Linked DNA regions of Oryctolagus cuniculus. The protein of the gene in region 1 purifies or fractionates together with the protein of each later gene. This does not show direct contact. Links are inferred from orthologs where the notes say so. Each region holds a gene or a part of one and is shown on either strand. Other genes may lie near its edges.

Region 1 (11,045 bases):
TCTTAATATTTACACTCCTATTCCTTCATTCATGGGCACTTGGGTTGTTTCCATCTTTCCCTGGTAGATGGTAAACAGCAGTGCCAGGGTGTGAGCTCCGGTTTGACCCCAAAGATGCAGTGCGCAGCACCCCTTCTGTGGTCAGCTCTGTTTCCCACGACAAAAGGCCTGTGACCTCAAGGCCTGGTAAAGCATTTCTTTAGAATAGAATGTGCGGTTGTAGATGTTCTCTCTGATGCACATATAAAAGTTGTTAAATAAAACATGGTAACACCAGACGTGGGCGAGGAAATCAGCCAGCACTGGAGACGTGCAAAGGAGCAAAACCACTCTGAAAGCCAGTGTGGCAGTTCACCGCACAGCTAACCATACAGGACTCCAGTCCTAAGTATGTACCCAGGAGAAATAAAAACACATCCACGCAGAGACCTGTGCCTGAACGCCCGTAGCCGCTTTACTTACATGGCTGACAACTGAAAGTAACCCACACGGCCATCAACAAGCAGATGGATGAACAAATACTGGGACACGTGTGCAATGGAATAGTACTCAGCAGTGAGAAGGGATGGACCAATGGAACGTGTCATAACTTGTAAGAGAAGACAGCAAAAAAATACTGTATGATTGCACTTACGTGAAATTCCAGAAAATACAAGGCTAATCTGCAGTGACAAAAGGACAGCCCATGGTTACCAAGACTACCTAAGGGCAAAAAGATGAAATGCCAAAAACAGAACATAAGGGGATTGGGGGTGGGGCGATAGAAATGCTCTTCATCTTGGTGGGGGTGGCAGCACACAAGTGCAGGCTCTATTTGCCCGAACTCATCAAGCTGACAATTGTAATGGCACATTTTGTTTATCAAAGCATTCCACAGTGATGTTTGATGCAGCTTTGGGTACACAAGGACTTTATCACAGTGTCACTCTAATAGCAGAAACATTGGTAGAGTAGAAGAATGCTTCAGTTCCCCAGGTATCAGAATGCTAAAGTTTTGCAAGGAGAGGGATTGCTACTGCTAATGGCCCTTTAAGGTGCCCTGGGCCTTTACCAAGACATGCATTTCTCTCCTTGGAGGCTCCTGGGTGGCTGGAACAAGTAGAGGGCAGGCCAGAGGTGCAGGAGGATTCACACCCTCCAGGGCATCCCTCTTCTAACTGGAGGACTTGGTGCACAGGCATGCAGGGGTATGGTGCAGCTGCCTCCATAACCCCGTGGCAGACTTGAACTCCTGTTGCACACCGTGGTCACTTGATTGACAATGTTCCCCTCGCTGGCTTCCTTCCTTCCCCCGTGTCATTCACCGGCTTCCCTACCAATGTTGTCTGCATCTCCTAAATGAGCTATTTTCACTGGAATCCATGTCCGTGGGCTGCTTCTGGGGAACTCGAATAACACTGGCAATGATGCTGAGGGACAGTAAAGATGCGGCAAGTGACAGAAGAGAGAGCAGGGTGATGACCATTCTGGAAACACCTGTCATTCTTGGCAAATGAAGTTTTTTTTTTTAAGATTTTATTTATTTATTTATTTGTAAGGCAGAGTTACAGACAGAGAAAGGTTGTCCATCTGCTGGTTCACCCCCCAAATGGCCACAATGGCTGGAGCTGAGTTGATCCAAAGCCAGCAGCCAGGAGCTTCTTCCAGGTCTCCCACGCAGGTGCAGGGGCCCAAGCACCTCGGCCATCTTCTACTGCTTTCCCAGGCCATAGCAGAGAGCTGGATCAGAAGAAGAGCAGCCAGGACTTGAACTGGCACCCATATGGAATGCTGGCACCACAGGCAGAGGCTTAGTCCACTACACCACAGAGCCAGCCCCAAGATTTATTTATTTATTTGAAAGTCAGAGTTACGGGGGGCGGGGGGGTCTTCCACACCCTGGTTCACTCCCAAATAGCTGCACTGGTGATGGCTGAGCTATGCCAAATCAGAGTCAGGAGCTCCATCCAGGTCTCCCGTGTGGGCGGCAGGGGCCCGAGTACTTGGCCATCCTCCACTGCTTTTGTCCCAGGCCATTAGCAGAAAGCTGGATCAGATGTGGAGAAGCCAGGACTCAACCCAGCACCCGTGTGGGACGCCAGGGCCACAGGCAGCAGCTTCACCTGCTACACCACAGCGTCAGGCCTGAAGTCTTTATAACGGCCTCACACAAGTCCATAGGGAAGGTGCCTGAGGATGTCCATTGTGGTATTGTCGACAGTGGTGGGAAACTGTGCAGTCTAAATGTCCATGAACAAGAGAGTGAGAAATTAGAGGTGGAGGATATGAAAGATGACCGCATGGCAGTTACCTTCTGCAATCTGGCTACGGTGTCAGTTTTCTATACTATAATGAGCCTGAGGCAGGCTAGCTTTACAAGCAAAAGAGGCTTATCTTCACTCATGGTTCTGGAGGGTCAAGGTCCAGAGTAGACTGGCCCACTGGTTTGCCCTCTGATGATGGTGTCCTTGCTGGCAGGGTCCTGGAGCAGCACGTAGCAAGACAGGGAGCTCACTTGTCTCTGCATCTCCCCTCCTTGCAAAGCTACCGGTGCCCTAACGACCTAATCCAGTCTAATCAGGTCCCTGAGACCCCCGGCTCTGAACGCAATTGGATGAAGTCTCGAACCTCTTGGTGCAGTGCCATTAGTGTGTGACTTTGGCGAGTAAACTCCTGAAGCTTCCTTTTTCTCGGTTAGTGGGTGATATTCAAACTATATATGTATTTTTTTTAAAGATTTGTTTATTTAAAAGGCAGAGAGAGAGAGACAGAGAGATTCTTCCATCCTCTGCTTCACTTCCCAAATGACCACAAAGCCAGGAAGGAGCCTAGAACTCCTTCAGGTCTCCCATGTGGGTGGCAGGGGCCCAAGCACTTGGGCCATTTTCTGCTGCTTTCCCATGTGCATTAGCAGGGAGCTGGATCAGAAGCAGAGCAGCCAGGACTTGAACTGATGCTGTGTTATGGGATGCCGGCATTGCAGGCAGTGGCTGAACCTGCAGCACCACAACACCGACCCCAGCAGCCAGATTTTTAACAATAGCCATGGAATAAGAAAAAGAAAGTACAACACTGAAATGGTGCCATTCAAGTACATTAAACCCACAGCACACATAGTTGGAACACACCAACTATGGAAGGCCAGGTTCATTGTCTTTTTCATTCTTGGTTGCATGTCCCCCTCTCATGCCCCGGGGGGCACGGGGCTGTGTCAGGACACAGCTGCAGGTGTCTAGAGGGCAGAGCACAGCAATGCTGCTAGACATCCCAAACAGGACAGTCCAGGGCAAGCAACTATGCGGCTGACAGCCCCAGCACAGTGCCCGCCGGGAAAGGGCGAGTGTGGGGTGATGGCGTGAATGAGTGATGGCTGTGCTGAGCCTCAGGATGGGGTGCGGTAGGGATTCCGCAGAAGTCCAGGTCAGCCCCTGCAGGTTCCAGGAGCTGGCGTGCCTCGCCCTCACCCGTCCCGTGCTGGCCTTGGTCGCCTCCAGCCCGACTTCTCGCTGCTGCCCGGAAGCCGACCCAGGGCGAGCCAGGGAGATCCCCATGGGCCAGTGGATTTGCATGGTCAGTCCAGGGGAAACTGCTGACCATGACAGGGCAGAGGAGGTTCAGGACACAGTATGGGGGGATGGGCAGGGCATGGAGGCAGCGTGGGCTGGAAAAGGATCAGACTGGGAGAGAGGGGAGAGAGCCAGGGGACCCTTCCCGGCCTGTTTGATTACTTGAAGGCGGCATGGATGCCCTGGAGGCCAGAAGTTGGCATTTTTGGTGGCTGCGATTGAAGTCCTGGGGGTTAAGCACTTGGAGTGGGAGGATGACCTAGGGGCAATGTGGGAACCCCGGGTTGGGGTTATAAATCTAGGAGTGGGGTCAGGGATAGAACCCTTTGAAGAGGGGTTGTTAGGACCCAGCAGGCTAAACACTGCTGGCAGTTCCAGTATCCCATATGGACACCTGTTTGAGCCCTGGCTGCTCCACTTCCGATCCAGCTCTCTGCTTGGGCCCCTGCACCCGTCCAGGAGACCTAGAAGAAGCTCCTGGCTCCTGGCTTCGGATCAGCCCAGCTCTTGCCATTGTGGCCATCTGGGGAGTGAACCAGCAAATGAAACTCTCTCTCTCTCTCTCTCCCCTCTTCCCTCCCTCTCTCTCTCTCTCCCTCTCTAATTCCACCTTTCGAATAAATCAATCTTAAAAAAAAAAAAAAAAAAAAAAAAAAGAACGCATTGGGAAGGTGTTGGGGCAGTGGCAGGAGGGACGCGCCCCCAGGGATGGTGGATCCTGGGAAGAGCTGGAGGCCTCTGCCGGATGGTGACCTCGTTCAGGATGACCGGGGCGGTGTTCGGCCCCTTGGGGGCGGGGTTAGCCTCTCCCGAGCGCGGCCGGGGCGTCACTGCGCCCCCGGTGCCAGCAGGGGAGCTTGGCAGTGCTTTGCGCCCGGAGGAGTCCTCGAAGACCGGCACGCCACCCAGAGGTCTCCCAAGTCCGTCTTCCTCTCTGCGGGCGGGCCCCCGAGGCCCGGGGGCTGCTGAGCTGGGGGGGCGCTCGAGCTGCGAGGATCCGGGCTGCCCGCCAGGCGAAAAGCGGGCGCCTAGGTGAGTACCGCGGGCGCGTCCTGGGGTCACCTGGCCAGGGAGGTGGAGGAGCTCCGGCTCGTGGGCAGGGCCGGCCGCAGATGGCAGCGAGGGGAGCAGGGGTGGGCAGTAGGTCCCCAGGGGACGAGCGGGAGTAGGGGGGCCGGGGAAGAACTCGTGCGGCGGAGGGAAGGGAGCCGCGCCCACGGAGACGCTGCTAGGGCTGCGCTTCTCTGCGCCGTCCGGGTTCCCCTTCTGCGGGGCAGGGGGAGTTATCACCCCGAGAAGGAAGGGACGCGGCCGCAGGGAGCGCGGGAGGGAAAAGCCCTTCGGGTTCCCGGTGCGGGTGTGTGACGGTCACGCCAGGCGGGCAGCGGCGCGGGCAGAGGGGCGGCTGGGCGGAGCGTGACGCGCGCCACACCCAGGCCAGCTGCAGCTGGGTCGCCGGCTGGGCTGGAGCCCGACCTTGGGAGGTCTGGGTCACCACCGGAAGCTCCTGGACAGCGACCAGGGGACTAGTGCCCAGTCCCGCGTGGCAGTCCTTGGGCAAGTCAGCCTCTCCAAAACGCGGCCACTGAGTCTTCCTTCCCAGGCCGCGCCGCTCTGTGAGACGTGACAGGGCAGTGCAATGGTTAGGGCCGGTGAGGCAGACTGCCTGCTGGGCCTTGGGGAAGAGGTCTGGCCTTCCTGTGCCTGGGTTTCCAAAACCCAGGATGGGGGCACACAGGGCAATCCAGGAGGAGCAACCTTCATCGAAACACTCAGGATCAGATGGGATTTGGATTTCAGATTTTTTTTGTTTAGGAATATTTGCGTTTACATATATGGGACGGAAGTCTGAGCACCAAGCTCATTTACATTTCATAAATTCATTAAGAAAGCCGCCCACTTGGGGCAGGCGTTGGGCAGAGTGGTTCAGTCGTCCCTTGGGACAACCATGTCCCACATTCAAGTGTGTGGCTGAGTCTGGGTTCTGCTTCCAATCCCACTTCCTGATAATGTGGACCCTGGCAGGCAACAGTGATGGCACGAGTCCTTAAGTCCCTGTCACTTCTGCGGGAGACCTGGATTAAGTTCCTGGCTCTCAGCTTTGGCCTGATGCAGGCATCTGAGGGGTGAACCAGCAGATGAAAGATCTCTCTCTCTCTGCTTCTCAAATGACAAAAAAAAAAAAAAAAAAAAAAAAAAAAAAAAAACTAAAAATAAAAATAACAAATAAAACTGAAGCACCCCCCCACACACACACTTTGTCCTCTTTCTCTTTCTCTCCTTGCCCAGAAGGAAATGCTGTCATGGATTAATCCTTCCAGTCTGTGTCTTTATTTTTTAAAAAGATTAATTTATTTATTTGAAAGAGTAACAGACAGAAAAAGAGAGGTCTTCCATCTGTTGGTTCACTCCACAAATGGCCACAACAGCTGAAGCTGGGCCAGTCCAAAGCCGGGAGCCAGAAGCTTCTTCTGGGTCTCCCACATGGGTGGCAGGGTCCCAAGCATTTGGGCCATCTTTCGCTGCTTTCCCAGGAGCATTAGCAGAGAGCTGGAGCAGAAGTGGGGCAGCCAGGACTCGAACCAGCACCCATGTGGGATCCTGGCACTGCAGGGGACAGCGTAACATGCTTCACCACGGCGCCGGCCCCCGGTCTGTGCCTTTATACATTTGGTGTACATCTCTGCATAAGCAATCCAGAGTGATTTCCAGTGTCTTCAAGAGCTACAGTATCTCCCCGTTACCCCCCGGAGTATGTTCTGAGGCCTAGGGGCTGCCTGAGCCTGCTTTCCTCATACCCAGCACTGTATGGCATCTCTCTGGCATCTCCAGACTGCCAGCGCCATGCACCTGTGCTTGGAGGCCACAGTAAAATGTGAACATAAGCACTGTGATATCGTAGCAGTGTACCTGAGAGCCGAGACAGCTACCGAGTGGCAAGTCCGGTACACAGCCTGGACACGCTGGGTGATTCGTATCCCAGGCAGGCTGGCATGGGACAGACAAGGTGGGATTTCAACACGCTGCTCAGAACAGCTGGCAGTTTGAACCGTAAGACTTTCTTATTTCTAGAATTTTCCCATTTAGTACTTTCAGACCACGATTGACCATGGGTAACTGAAACCAGGCAAAGTGAGATCGTGGATAAGGGAGACTGCTGTACACGCCCTCCCGGTGAGAGCCTCCCACCCACACGCACTTCTCACGGCTGCGCTGTCCATGTCTTTCCAGGATGAGCCACAGAGGTGTCATTCTTCCCCTCTAACCACCGTGGCGCATCCAGCAGGCGGCCAGCTTACATGCTCATTCCCTGCAGATGGGCATTCAGGTCGCTCCCAGGTGTTCCCCACGACAAACAGCATTGCCGGGACTACCCTGCCTGGACAGGGGACCTGGGACCCTTGTGCAGCTGTTTCAGAGGAAAACACCAGGGCTCGGCGGCTTTCCACCCTTCCCATCACGTGAGAAGACCGAAGGCTCTGCCCCAGAGAGGGGGGAGAACCCGGCTCTGCTGGCCTCCCGCTGTCTCTAGACCCGTGGCCATGTGCCTGGCGTTTGGTAGGGACTCAAAAAATGGAAGCATGAGTTTTTTTTTGTGACAAACATGTTAGTATATAGTGCTGAATATATCATTTTTATCCTATGCATTTGCTTAGCGTTATATTGGAAGCATTTTTCTCCATCATTGAAATATTATTACATTTTAATGACTCTATAATATTCCATTGTTTGAAAACACCATAATTTGTTTAACCTTTCTAGCAGAGCACTCTTACGTAGTTTGTGATTTTAAAATATCCTAATTGAGCTGAAACGCACATATCTGTATTAAAATCAACCATTTAGTGCAGCACGTTAGGCCTCGCTTGTGACACTGGCATCTCATACTGGAGTACTTCCTATTAATGCACCTGGGAAAGCAGCAGAAGGCGGCCCAAGCACTTGGGCCCCTGCACCCACGCGGGAGACCAGGGATGCATTCCTGGCTCCTGGCCTCAGCCAGCTATGCCAGCTATAAGCTATGAAAAGAGCAGAGTGTGTGGGCATTGTGGCTTCAAGGACTCCATTTGTGGAGGACAGTTTTGGGGGCCGTTGAGCTTGGAGCACCCAGCAGGTCGGCATGGATGTTGCTTCAGCTGGCAACTGGCCCTGTCTCCTGTTCCTATATGCAGGCGGCTACCTCTGCACAGAGAAGCTTTGTGCCTCCAAGCATGAGCTACTCCAACGGCATCCCTCCCTTCGTTTTTTTTTTTTTTAAATTTTTTTAAAGATTTATTTTATTTATTTGAAAGAATTACAGAGAGAGGTAGAGATGAGAGAGAGAGAGAGAGGTCTTCCATCCGCTGGTTCACTCCCCAATTGGCTGCAATGGCCAGAGCCGAGCTGATCTGAAGCCAGGAGCCAGGAGCTTCTTCCAGGTCTCCCACGTGGGTGGCCATCTTCCACTGCTTTCCTAGGCAACATCGGAGAGCTGGACTGGAAGTGGAGCAGCTGGGACCAGAACTGGTGCCCATACGGCATCCCTCCCTTTAAACACACGCTCCGGGGTGTCCAGGAGGCCAAAGGGCACTTCACTGAATTATTCAGCAGGAATTTATTGAGCAATTACTGTGTCCTGGTTTTACCCCCACGGATGGATCCGTGAGCAGAACAGAGTCCGCGCCGTCCTGTGTCTTAAACCGCAGTGGGGGAGATGAGCCATCAATCGATGGGGTGACATTCGGTGTGTTAGCTCAGGGCCTTTGAGAAGCAGACTCCCACAGATTAACTGCGCTAGAAATATATCACAGGAAGCCCCCAAGAGAATACGGGGAGAAACCACGAGAGGCTCGGAGAGCCGTCAGGTGGCAAGGCACAGCTGATGCCTGAAGAAGAGGAAACGGACAGAGAGAGTGGAGAAGGAGGGAGAGAAGGAAGAAAGGAGGTGTGGGGAGAGGGAAGGGGGAGGCACAAGTGTCCCAGGCCACGAGGGAGGTCTAAGGAGAGCCGGTCACAGACCCCTCCATGCGGGGCTGCCCCAGTGTCCCTGCCGTGCTCTGTGGCTGGCTGGAGCAGTCTGTGGGACAGTGCTGAGAGGGTCAGAGCACAGCTGTGGCCTCGGGTCGGTTATGCTCCCTGCAGTTGACCGCCGAGAGGTGCGGCCCCAGAAGGCCACAGTAAGATGCTGTGGGCCAAGAATGCGGGGAATGACGGGGACAGAAAGTAATGGGAGTGGGGGCAGCGGCTGAGGACAGGCCTCTAGGAAACTGAGATCTGCACAGAGATCCGCCGTGAACAAGCGTTTCTGGGTGAAGAATATTCCAGAAGGCAGCACATGCACTGGCCCTGCAGTAGAAGCGTGGTTCGCATGTTGGGAAAAAGCAAGGCGAGAGGTGTGCGTATGGAGAGGAATGATCTGGAGCGAGCTGGTGGGGACAGGTCTGCGAGGGTGAGCGGCCGTCTGAGCACAGAGGCCTGCCCCACTGGAGAGGGGTCGTGCTCAGGGGCCCAGCAAGGGTTCGAGCAGAGGGGTGTGGCCTGGTTGACATCTTTGAAGGTTCACTTATTTGTAGGAGGCAAAGTGTGGCTGCAAACCCAACTCCTTCAGACTTCAAAGTCACATCCCCTGTTCCCCAAACTGCCCTGGCCCCTGTCCACTCTAGAGAGAAAATTCTTCCCAGGAGGCTCACAGCTGCCCTGGAATTCTGGACTTGACTGGGTGGCCCCAGGGTAGTGAGCAGGCTAAGAATTCACTATGTGGTTGCAATCCTGCACCTCAGAGCTCACCTCCAGCTGAGCCAGGCAAATGGCCGGAGGCCTTGAGTTTGTCCTCAGTGTGTTGTTCTGTCATTCAGCGCCGTGTGAGCCCGGGCACACCCCTCCCCCTCCCTGGGGCTGTTCCTCCGTGTGTATAATGAAGGCAGTGATCGCCCGACTCTCCTGTTGTAAAATCAAAGTTCTGAGCCCTATAGAAAGAACGGAGGCCCCGAGAAGGGGAGGGCTGGGGTGGGAGTTCGGCATGAGAGCTAAGATATGAGATATAAGATATGAGAGCTTGGGATACTTGTGTCCCAAATCAGAGTTCCTGGGATTGAGTCCCAGCTCGGCTTCTGATCCAGCTTCCTGCTAACACACACCCTGGGAGGCAGCAGATGATGGTTCAGGTTGGGTTCCTGCCACCCACATGGGAGACCCAGATTCAGTTCTAACCTCCTGGCTTCGGCCTGGTCCAGGCCTGGCTATTGTGAGCCTATGGGGAGTGAACCAGTGGTATTAGGGACAACAGTCACTGGAGGAGGAGATGCTGTACTCAGAAGACGGGGAGCCGAGAAGAGCTGCAGTGCTCTGTACCCCGAAAGTGGTCTTGTTGGGGAAGACTCCCCCCCGGCCCCGCACGCCGTGGCTGAGCTGTTCTGAGAAGGGAAATTTCCTGTAACCCGACGGTCGTGAGCTGCAACAGTCTGCCTTCCTGAGCCTCCTGTTCCAGTTCCTCATTCCCCTTCCCCTTCATCGCCTGCAGCCTCTGGGGCTGACCCCAGGGCCTGCTGAGAGGCAGGAGAGCCGGGGGCCCACTCTGTGCCGTGGACCTCCATGCTCCCCTCTGAAAAATGGGATCATAACTCTGGTCTGCTCATTTCAGCCAGGCACGCTGAGGATTCTGGGAAGCAGAACCCAGTGTATTCCCTGCACAGATGTCTGTGGAGGGCCTGTGACGCGCTGGGCACCGGGTAGGCACAGCCACAGGACCACCGGCTTGACAGAACCCACCCGTCCCTGCCTACTAGAACGGCTCCAGTAGCATTTTTTTTAAAGAACTGTGCTATTTATTTGAAAGGCAGAGTTACAGAGAGAGAGATGCTCCATCTGCTGGTTCACTGCCCAAACGGCCACAACAGCCAGGACTGGGCCGATCTGAAGCCAGGAGCCAGGAGTCTCCTCCAGGTCTCCCACGTCAGTGCAGGGGCCCAAGCACTTGGGCCATCCTCCACTGCCCTCCCGGGCCACAGCAGAGAGCTGGACTGGAAGAGGGGCAACCGGGACAGAATCTGGCGCCCCAACCAGGACTAGAACCCGGGGTACCGGTGCTGCAGGCAGGGGATTAGCCAAGTGAGCCACGGCACTGGCTACCCATCACCATCTTAACCTCTTCTACCCATCGCTGTCATGGGGTAAGTGTTGCGGTGCAGCAGGTTAAGCCACATCCCTTATCAGAGTGCCTGGTTTGAGTTCTGACTGCTCCACTTCTGATTCACCTTCCTGCTAATGCATCCTGGGAGACAGTGGATGATGGCTCAACTGCTTGGGCCCCTGCCGTCCACATGGGAAACCCGGATAGAGTTCTTGTCTCCTGGCTTCAGCTTGACACAGTCCCAGCCATTGCAGGCATTTGGGGAGTGAACAGCAGATGGAAGAACTCTCTCCCTCTCTCTCCACTCTGCCTTTCAAGTAGATGAAAATAAATAAATAGACATTGTGTTAAACACCTGCCATCAAGGAAGTCTTTGTTATTAGTCATTTATG
Region 2 (10,437 bases), on another chromosome or scaffold:
AGGTCCGCCGGCAGCCGGAAGGCAGGCAAAGGGTCCAAATTGGGCCAGGCGGGCGCGACCCGCGGCTCCCTGGGCTGCCGCATGGCCGAGGGTCGCAAAGGAACTTGGTTCCCACGGGGCAGGCGACCACCGGCAGGGGTCCCTGGAGACCCTCCCCTCCCCCTGCCCCCGCAGCTAGAGACGCGAACGAGGGCGTAAAATCCGAAACCAGCTTGGGAAATAGCTTGAGGTGACCCTGTAAGCAGGGCGCCTCAACCAGTGTTTAGGGATTGGGGGGCTGCCGCGAAGGCTCGGGAAGGGATGGGCACCCCCAGTCTCGGCTTGGATGGAGGCGCCCGAAAAACATTTCCGCTGCCCGAGGTGTGCGGCCGGCGGGAGAGGCGGAGGGCCAGGTGCCCCTCAGCGGCGGGGCAGTGCCGCGCTCCGGGGGCGGACGAGGCGGGTAGCAGGGCCGAGCAGCGGCAGCCCACCCGCTCCGCCCAGGGGTCGGCCCGAGCTGCAGTACCTACACTGCCCGGGCCGCAGCGCGAGGGGAGGAGCCTCGAGGGGAGGCGGCGGCGGGGGCGGGGCCGCCGAGACTGGCCTGGAAACTGCTGGAAGTGGCCGCAGCACCGCTGCCGCCGCTCCTTCCGCCGCACGCCAGCAAAGAGTCCCCTCCCTCCCGGGCCGGCGCCCCTCCCCCGCCCCAGGGGGCTGCAGGCAGCTGGGCCGTTCGCCGGGAGGAGGGGGGATATATGTGGCAGATCCTAGTTAGACGACTGGGTGGGAGTGACTACCTCTGCTCGCTTCAAGTCCCCGTCGGCTCGGCCTCCTGGTTGTGGGAGGGCTTTTGGGGGAGCCGGTGGGGTCCTCGCTCGCAGATCCACTGTTGAGGCATATGAGCACTCTCAGTCCCTAATCGTGGCAGGGGTCACGCCCTGGCCGTGCAGAGAACAGGAGCTCACGAGCCCACACCGAGGCTGGCGGCTCTGGCTCTTCCCCGCCCGCCCCCTATTCCGGACCATGACGTCAAGGTGGGCGGGCGCCGGCAGGTGCGGGGCTCGCGGGCGTCCGCCTTTAAGGCGGAGGGATCCGGGGGAGGCGGCTGGGCTGTGCTTCGCCTTATATAGGCTGGCTGGGGGCTCCCAAGAGCTCTCTTGAGTCACCCCCGCGCTGCCTCGTGCCGTGTGCGGTTGGCAGTCCGGGCCCTCCGTGCTCTCTCGTGCTCGCAGCCCTTTCCCTTCAAGGTAAGGCAGCCGCGTCCCTGCAGGCCGTTCCCCCGCGGGTGCTGTCGCTGCGCAGCTCGGGAGCCAGACGCCGCGGTGCGGGGCGGCCCGTGGGTCCCCGCGCGCTCGGGCTGCGGGGGTGGTGCGTGGAGGCTTTCCAGCGTCCGGTCGGCCTGCACCGGCGCGCCGGGCCGGCGGCGCGGGGCCGCGGCGGGGGCCGGCTGCACGTGGTGGCCGCGCCGGCCCGGGGCGCTGCCATGTTTGCCCCTCCACTTCCGGACGCGGCTACGAGGGCCGCGAGGCGGCCGGGTCCGCGCGCGGGTGACTCAGCACTGCGCGCCTGGGTTGCCGCTGCTGCTCGGCCCTCGAGGTCCGTGCGGGACCCGCCGCGGGCAGAAACGCATTTGGCGTGTGGCAGGTCTTTTCCGCAGCCCTCGAGTGGGAGGGGACAGGCTCTGGAAGATTCATAGGCTCCCTCCCCCGCCCCTCCCCGAGCGCGGAGATTGTTCTCGAAGCTTCTGGAGCCCGATGCTCCGCCCCAGTGCCCGGATGCTGGGGCGATGGCGAGGCGCGCTGTGGCGCCCCCTTCTCGCGGGGCTGCGGCCGACGCATGTCCGGCAGTGACGAGGGTCGGTCCGCGGCCCCGGGCACCATTTTACTTGGGTGCGAGCAGGTGCTGGGGCGTCACGGGGCAGCCTTCGCCTGCTCTGTTCTTTGTCCCGCGTGGACTGCCCCGCGAGCCGGTTACCGCTGTTTCTCGGGTGTCAGTGTGCCCTGCCGCGTGGGGCTGCGATCGGGCCTTGGGCGCATCCACACTACAGGGGTAGAAGAGCTGCCTACGGGCGAGCAGTTTGAGAATAAAACCAGCGCCCACATCAAAGAGACGTGTGGTCAGTGATGCTGGCGTTTGAACGTGGGGCGGGAGTCCCTTGTCTGGGTTGGGACCAGCGTGGTGAGCGGCTGCTGGTCACCCCTGCTCCATGCTACCTGCTTGTCTGGTTGAGGAGGGCTTTGCTCTTGACCTGACTCGGTGGTTGTTAGTATTCACCCCACAGGTTTTAAGAAAGGGCGTGTCTTCAGTAACCCCGCCCAAAGCAGTTTAAACACCATCTGAATTTCAGAAGCGTCAGTTCTGGGGCCGCTACCTTCCTGATTCTTGACCCTCCTGTTCCAGATGCCCGAGGAAGTGCACCATGGAGAGGAGGAGGTGGAGACTTTCGCCTTCCAGGCGGAAATTGCCCAACTCATGTCTCTCATCATCAACACCTTCTACTCCAACAAGGAAATCTTCCTGCGGGAGCTGATCTCCAACGCGTCTGATGTGAGTTCCTTCGTGTTTCATGGCTGGCTGGGCTCCTCCCGAAGGGGGAAAACTGATTGCTATTGAAGGGGTTTGTCCGGGTGCTCCCTGGACGAGCGGGCCAGTGTGACCACGCGGCTCCTAGTCCAGTGAGGCCCAAGGTTCTCACTTCCAGGGGTATTTCAAGGACGCAATTTTCTGTTACCATTAAATGGCACGTTTATTACTCACTCTAAGAGTTCACAGTTCGTGTAGGATGATGGGGCAGTCAGAGTTACAGCGTGAGAGTAGCAATCCAAGAGGTTCCTAACGCTGAAGAGACGGCTAAGAAATCCGCTGTTGGTGCTGCCTTGCAGGCCCTGGACAAGATCCGCTATGAGAGCCTGACGGACCCCTCCAAGCTGGACAGCGGCAAAGAGCTGAAGATCGACATCATCCCGAGCCCCCAGGACCGCACGCTGACGCTGGTGGACACCGGCATTGGCATGACCAAGGCCGATCTCATCAACAACTTGGGGACCATCGCCAAGTCGGGGACTAAAGCCTTCATGGAGGCTCTGCAGGTAGGTGGCAGCCAGCCCTCGACGTGCGGCCGGGCCTCTGTTCTCTGCAGGACACGAGTCTGACCGTTCCCGCTTCTCTGCAGGCTGGTGCCGACATCTCCATGATCGGGCAGTTCGGCGTCGGTTTCTATTCTGCCTACCTGGTGGCCGAGAAGGTGGTCGTGATCACAAAGCACAACGATGACGAGCAGTATGCCTGGGAGTCTTCTGCTGGGGGCTCCTTCACCGTGCGCGCCGACCACGGTGAGTGGCCGGGAGGCGCTGCTTCACAGGGCGAGTGTGCAGCAGGCGGTCCTGGGGCAGCTCGCTCACCGCCTGCCCTCCTGGTCTGCAGGGGAGCCTATTGGCCGAGGCACCAAGGTGATCCTGCATCTCAAGGAGGACCAGACTGAGTACCTGGAGGAGAGGCGGGTCAAGGAGGTGGTGAAGAAGCACTCGCAGTTCATAGGCTACCCCATCACCCTCTACGTGAGTATGCTTCCCGCGGAGGCAGCCTGCCTGTGCTTCTGGTGGGCTGGGCCATTTGCTTGCCCTGAGGGTCGGTGCTCAAAACTGACGAGTGTTTCTGGGTGCTTTAGTTGGAGAAGGAAAGAGAAAAGGAAATCAGTGATGATGAAGCAGAGGAAGAAAAAGGGGAAGAGAAAAAGGAGGAGGAAGATAAGGAGGACGATGAGAAGCCCAAGATCGAAGATGTGGGCTCCGATGAGGAAGATGACAGCGGCAAGGACAAGAAAAAGAAAACCAAGAAGATCAAGGAGAAGTACATCGATCAGGAAGAACTGAACAAGACCAAGCCCATCTGGACCAGAAACCCTGATGACATCACCCAGGAGGAGTACGGCGAGTTCTACAAGAGCCTCACCAATGACTGGGAGGACCACTTGGCAGTCAAGGTGAGAGGCCTTGGGAGTGGGCCGGGGTGGAGAGGCAGGGGGTAGCCCAGCTGAGAACCGGGAGCATCGCTGATGGCCCTGCCCGAGGACCTGGCTTTCTCTCCTGGTGGAAGTTCAGGATTTTATGCAGCTGGGACCAGCGTAGGTGTGTTTAGGGCATTAGGAATCATGTCGCAAGTGCTTGGGGGACGATAATTCCAGGTTGGAGTCTAGTTGGGACTGAAGGGCACCCTGGGCCTGGCGCGTCCTGCTGGCTTACCTTGGGTCTCCTGTCGCAGCACTTCTCCGTGGAAGGTCAGCTGGAATTCAGGGCTTTGCTTTTCATCCCTCGCCGAGCTCCCTTTGACCTCTTTGAGAACAAGAAGAAGAAGAACAACATTAAGCTGTACGTCCGCCGTGTGTTCATCATGGACAGCTGTGATGAGCTGATCCCAGAGTATCTCAGTGAGTATGGCCTTGGCCCGGTGGCGTTGGAGGGGGCTGCAGGCTTCATCCCAGATAGTGGTCCAGGGAGAAAGCCGGACCTCGTGTGCGCATCCGGGTGGCTCTGTCCAGTCTGGCCTGGTCTTGACCAAGCTGCCGCACTGCCTGGTTGCAGACTTCATCCGTGGCGTGGTCGACTCCGAAGACCTGCCCTTGAACATCTCCCGCGAAATGCTGCAGCAGAGCAAGATCTTGAAAGTCATCCGCAAGAACATCGTGAAGAAGTGCCTCGAGCTCTTCTCCGAGCTGGCGGAAGACAAGGAGAACTACAAGAAGTTCTATGAGGCCTTCTCCAAGAACTTGAAGGTGAGGAGCGAGTGGCTTTCTCCCTTGGGGCACGTTTGGGTACGTGGTAAGTGGGTCGTTCAAAGTTCTAGCCCAGCTGATGGTGGTTTCTCTTCCCGCCCTTAAAGCTTGGCATCCACGAGGACTCCACCAACCGGCGCCGCCTCTCTGAGCTGCTGCGCTACCACACCTCCCAGTCTGGAGACGAGATGACTTCGCTGTCTGAGTACGTCTCTCGCATGAAGGAGACACAGAAGTCCATCTACTACATCACTGGTGCGTGCGCGTCTGGGTCTGAGGCGGGCAGGGGCTGGGCAGGGCAGGGGCATTCGTGTCTGAGTCCCATTGAATGACCTTGCAGGGGAGAGCAAAGAGCAGGTGGCCAACTCGGCTTTCGTGGAGCGCGTGCGGAAGCGGGGCTTCGAGGTGGTGTACATGACAGAGCCGATCGACGAGTACTGCGTGCAGCAACTCAAGGAGTTCGACGGGAAGAGCTTGGTGTCTGTGACCAAAGAGGGCCTGGAGCTGCCTGAGGACGAGGAGGAGAAGAAGAAGATGGAGGAGAGCAAGGCGAAGTTTGAGAACCTCTGCAAGCTCATGAAGGAGATCCTGGATAAGAAGGTTGAGAAGGTGAGCACCTGGGGCTCAGGTGTTCCGCACTCCTTTGGAGGTGCAGCTTTGCGTGCTTGCTGTGTGTGTCAAGATTCAAGGGCAGGGTTGGAGAGGGCACAATGGCTTGGGGTAAGCCAGGCCAAGGAGCCTGGAACTCCAGGTCTCCCTGGGAGGTGGCAGGGGCCGGAGCTCTTGGGCCATCTTCCTAGGCACATTCGTAGGGAGCTGGCTCTGAAGCGGAGCAGCTGGTGATGCCAGTGGCCCTGCAGTGAGTGGTTTTATTCAGGAGTTAGGTGTGAGCTGTCTCTAAGGCTTGGCAAAGATGTAAGGCTGACCTCCACACACACCTGAGGTTTGCTGGCTGTTTGCAGGTGACAATCTCCAATAGGCTCGTGTCTTCGCCCTGCTGCATCGTGACCAGCACCTACGGCTGGACAGCCAACATGGAGCGGATCATGAAGGCCCAGGCACTTCGAGACAACTCTACCATGGGCTACATGATGGCCAAGAAGCACCTGGAGATCAATCCCGACCACCCCATCGTGGAGACGCTGAGGCAGAAGGCCGAGGCGGATAAGAACGACAAGGCAGTCAAGGATCTGGTGGTGCTGCTCTTTGAAACTGCGCTGCTGTCCTCCGGCTTCTCCCTGGAGGATCCCCAGACCCACTCCAACCGCATCTATCGCATGATCAAGCTAGGCCTAGGTATGGAGTGAGCAGTGCCTGGGTTCCGGGTGGGGACACCCTTCCCTCCCTCCGTGCTGTGTGGTTGGAACCTCCTATTTTCTGTTTCCTAGGCATTGATGAGGATGAGGTGGCAGCAGAGGAACCCAGCGCAGCTGTTCCGGAGGAGATCCCCCCTCTCGAGGGAGATGAGGACGCCTCCCGCATGGAAGAAGTAGACTAGGAACTCCTCGGAAACTCCTGCCCTCTGTATAGTGTCCCCGTGGCTCCCACAGCAGCCTTGAGTGGCCCTGTCCCACCTGGCTCCCCTGCTGATGTCTAGTGGTCTCTCTCCTGTCCTGTGTCTTATGGCAGGAAACAAAGGCCTCAAGCCCCATCCCCTCCTTAATTTGACAATGGGGTTGGATGTTGTGTATTGTGGGTTTTTTTTGTTTATTTTGTTCTGAAATTAAAGTATGCAAAATAAAGATGACGCCGTTTTATACAGTTCTGCTCTCCCTTGTAAAGTGGATGCACTGCTTTTGGTGTCCAGCAGTTGTGAGCACAGAGGGCTGTGCTGGTGTTGCTCACCCCAAAGCTAAGGGGGTAGTGGGGGTGCCCACCCTGCAACCCTGTCCTCCCAACCCCTTCAGTCACCTGACACACAGGACTTGTCCACTGCAGCAATTTAATAAAATTATAAAGAGCAAAACGACATTTCCAGAGTACCAAAGCCTGCACTAGCTCACGGAGCCAGCTCCCTCAGCACCCTGTCACCCGCCTTGAAAAGCAGCACTTGGCGCCCCAAACACTTGTGCTGTGCTTTTCCCCACAGTTAAACGCAGGTGTGGGAGGGAAGTCCCCGATGTAGGGGCTAAGCACAGGTGAAGCGCTGGTGACAACAGGTAGGCTCGACACCCCCCCAAGCCCCTCAGGAGGGCTGTCAAACAGGTGACTTAAGGCCAAGGGGAAGTCTGCCTCGGGCTCCCCGCCCGCCAGCTGCACATTTTGCCCTAGAGCCAGTGCCACCAAGTAGAGGAGAGCCTGGGTGGTGGGCGGGGCCCCTCCTGCCTCAAACCTGCTGCACTGGGGCCTCCCCAGGCACCACCTTCTTTCCCCTCTGCTTTAGTCGCCCCCGGGCGTAGACTCTGAGCAGGAGCGCAGCGAAGACCACAGCCACCCCCAGCCCGCCCACCACAGTGACCGTGTGGCCATAGAGGAGGCAGGAGAGGAGGATGGCAAAGGCCTGGCGCAGGGTCATGATGATGGTGAAGACCGCCGCCCCGAACTGGCCGATGGTGTAGAAGATGAAGAGCTGGCCGCAGGCTGAGCACACCGACAGCAGCAAGGCGTGGGCTGCAAACTCGCTGTGGCGCCCCATGAAGCGTGTCCCCTCCAGGAGGGCCCCCTGCTGCAGCAGAGAGCCGACCGTGAAGAGGCAGGAGAAGAGGTTGACGCCGAACATCATCTGCACCGATGACATCTTATAGGCAAACAGGGCATCCTGCCAGTTTGAGGTGAAGCTGTCGAAAGCAATGTAGCCTGCCAGCAAGATGAGGCCTGAGAGCGTGGTGGCCGGGGAGCTGCGGGGCTCAGGCCCGCTGGACAGCAGGAACATGCTGACCCCGACCGAGATGAGGCCGGCCGTCAAGTACTCCCAGTGTTCATAGCTGCGCCGGGACACCAGCTTCCCCATCAGCATGACCGGGATCACCTTGGAGGCCTTGGCCAGCACCTGGGTGGGGAAGCTGACGAACTTGAGCGCTTCATATTGGCACCAGCTGCTGAGCACGTTGGAGAAGCTGGCAAAGGCGTACCGGTACATGGGCGCCCCGTGCCGGGGCTGCTTGCACAGGAGGCAGTAGAGGCCGGCCACGATCAGTGCCAGCACACGGTTCATTAGCACCAGGAACTGGGAGTCCGTGAAGCGCTCACCTGGCGACGTGGCAGTGGCCCCATAGCTTCGTGTCATCACCCTCTCCTGCAGCACACCCCAGGTCAGATAGGACACCTGGGAGGGGAAGGCGGGGACAGGACACGGTAAGCAAAGGCAAGGCTCAGCTGCCCCCTTCCAGGGGACGGCTACGCGACAGAAGGGACAGCACCTTTTGAGACTTCTCTGCGCTCCAGTGTGCAGGGAAAACTTCATTGGAACAAATGCTTTAGGGCCGCCCAGGCACTTCCTGTCCGCACGGATGGTACAAGGGTATGTTAAAGCTGACTCCACCCAAAGCAGTCTCCCAGCTAGATACTTTGAACCAATTCAGGTCGGGAGAGGCTCGGTCGCTCCCAGTGCCGTCCCACCGGCGTATGGGGGGTGGGGCTGGTCCCCAAGCCACAACTGTGGCCAGGTCCCTTATCTTAGCGCTCCTGGAGTACAGTGCTGGGGGAAGGCTGCATGGCTCCCCCAGGCTCCCATCGGGGGCTCACAGCACAGGACATGCAGCGGCCCAGGGCAAATCAGAAAAAAGAGGTTACACGAGGCCCGTCTTCAGTACTAGATACCCCAAAGCCACGGCGGCAGTGTTGGCAAGGCGCACAGGGACGAGGGAAGGAGGTGGGGCAGGGAACCCACCAACCAGCCAACCATCGGGACCAGTAGGGTGAAAAACCTGGTTTCACACTCCCTGCCCATTGGAACCCGGCCAGGAAGAAGAGCAAGCAGGCCCTGCCCACGTACCTGGAGCCCCGAGGCACAGAAGAGCAGCTTCAGGGCCTGCCAAGTGGGGGTGGTCTCTGCTGTCTCCGGCCGTGGAGCCAGGGGAACCTCATCAGAGGCCTTGGGCTCATTGCCAAACACACAAGCTTTCACCAGGGGGAAGCAGAGACCCCTGCCTGAAGAAGGCACACACAGTCAGGTCCCAAACCTTCTTCACAGCACCTGTCTTGCCCAGAGCAACCAGCCCGTCCTGCCTCCCCGCCTCCCCTCCCGGTGCAGCGCTGGCCAGCAACCTACAACCTGGGCCCAAGCCATGTCCCCACCCTTTCTTCACACACCTGTCTCCAGGTAGTTCTTCCGCTTGAAGTACTGCACCAGAAGGTAGCCAGGTACCATAAAGCTGGCATAGCCAGCAGCATTCACCAAAAAGCGGAAGAACCATAGCTGGGTCCAGGACTCCGGAGGGGCTTCGGGGGTCTCCCCACCTGCGCCCAAGGCGGGGAGCGCGGCCAGCACCAGCACGGCCCACCACCTGCTGGGAGAGCCGACACCAGGGTTAGGGCGCGCTTCTTCATCCCCTCGGCCCTGCAGAGGGGGCCACGCTGGAGACAGGCCCAGTCTCCTCCCCGCCCCCCTCCACCGCAGCCCAGCCCGGACAAAGAGCCTCTCTCTCGGGGGGTTCGGCGCGAGCCAGGCAGGGCCTCCTCTTTCCCGGGGGGCGGACCCGCCTCTCCGGTCACACAGGTCTCCTCTGTTCCCTCCAGCGCCCGCCGGCTGTTCAGGCCAGAGGCGGCGCCCCCTCCCCCCACCACGCCACCCCCACGTTCCCGGGGCGCCAGGGTCCCCAGCCCCGCCGCCTGACACTCCCGCAGCCCCCCAGGGAGCACAAGCCCACGCCGCGGCCCCGACCCGCGCCGGCTCCGAACAGCGCTCTGCGGGCCGGCAGCGGGGGACCCCACCCGGCCCCCCGAGCCGAGGCGCGGCAGTCACGTGGCCCGGGGGCTCGGTCACGTGGGCCGGCCGCTGCCCTAGCCCCCCACCTGGGGTCCATGGTCCGGGCCGCGTGGGGCGGAGGGGGACCGGGGAATGGAGTCCCCGGGCCGCGCTCGCCCTCCGCTCCCGCCGCCGCCGCCGCCGCCTCCGGGAGCAGCCAGTGAGCTAGCGGCTAGCGGAAGTGCCGCGCTCTTCCCGCCTCCCTCCCCGCGGCCGCCCTCCGCCCCCTGCCGCGACCACGCAGCGCCCGCGGCCGCCGCCGGCTCACAGCGCCCCCGTGCGGCCCGGAGGCAGCCTCGGCTCGGTTCCCCGGAGCCGGCGGGGCTGGGAGCCCCAGCCCTGGAGGGGTGTCCGTGGCCTCGGCGGCGTCATCGCCCTTCGCGCTCACGCTGCGACTCTGCGTGCCAACAAGCACTGAGCCTCATGTGAGCGTTCCCGCTTTCGGACGGCACGGGGAGATGGCCTGCTTTTTGCGGCCGGCACCCAAGTTCTGCGGTCCCACTCCCCGGGACCTCCGTGGCACGCCGTGACCCGTCTTGGCTTCCTCGCCCACCCCTTCTTTAAGACACCAGAGGCCTTCCCCATGCAGTGCGCCCATCCGTGCGCCTCTCAGAGGGCTGAGAGGATAAGCACACCTAAGTCGGCTTTCTCAGCAGGTGCTGGCAGCTTGGGGAGCTGCAGTGAGGGCCCATAAAGGCCCCCCTAGCACGTGGAATGGGAGAAAAGCCCTTTTCCCTGTGCCCAGCTTCCCCTTCTCCCCGGGTTGCTTCAGATGCCCCGC

The links.
Region 2: the proteins of HCK (region 1) and HSP90AB1 purify together in Homo sapiens (affinity purification with mass spectrometry; 3 studies listed by BioGRID and IntAct, with this or other methods). This does not show direct contact. The link is inferred for Oryctolagus cuniculus from reciprocal best matches to the Homo sapiens genes HCK and HSP90AB1.

Annotation. Positions count from the first base shown.
Region 1 is NC_091442.1:25,719,875-25,730,919, reverse strand, and holds the start of HCK (tyrosine-protein kinase HCK), read left to right. Parts: upstream 1-4,409; 5' UTR 4,410-4,577; intron 4,578-11,045. UniProt on the Homo sapiens protein: Non-receptor tyrosine-protein kinase found in hematopoietic cells that transmits signals from cell surface receptors and plays an important role in the regulation of innate immune responses, including neutrophil, monocyte, macrophage and mast cell functions, phagocytosis, cell survival and proliferation, cell adhesion and migration.
Region 2 is NC_091436.1:125,876,187-125,886,623, reverse strand, and holds HSP90AB1 (heat shock protein HSP 90-beta), read left to right. Parts: upstream 1-1,019; 5' UTR 1,020-1,226; intron 1,227-2,379; coding exon 2,380-2,526; intron 2,527-2,861; coding exon 2,862-3,068; intron 3,069-3,151; coding exon 3,152-3,311; intron 3,312-3,402; coding exon 3,403-3,536; intron 3,537-3,646; coding exon 3,647-3,961; intron 3,962-4,239; coding exon 4,240-4,405; intron 4,406-4,559; coding exon 4,560-4,750; intron 4,751-4,857; coding exon 4,858-5,005; intron 5,006-5,090; coding exon 5,091-5,359; intron 5,360-5,712; coding exon 5,713-6,046; intron 6,047-6,138; coding exon 6,139-6,248; 3' UTR 6,249-6,296; exon of another isoform or gene 6,297-6,333; 3' UTR 6,334-6,511; downstream 6,512-10,437. Other genes in the region: SLC35B2 (adenosine 3'-phospho 5'-phosphosulfate transporter 1), read right to left, coding at 7,077-8,015, 8,685-8,839, 9,002-9,198, 9,704-9,714. UniProt on the Homo sapiens protein: Molecular chaperone that promotes the maturation, structural maintenance and proper regulation of specific target proteins involved for instance in cell cycle control and signal transduction. Undergoes a functional cycle linked to its ATPase activity.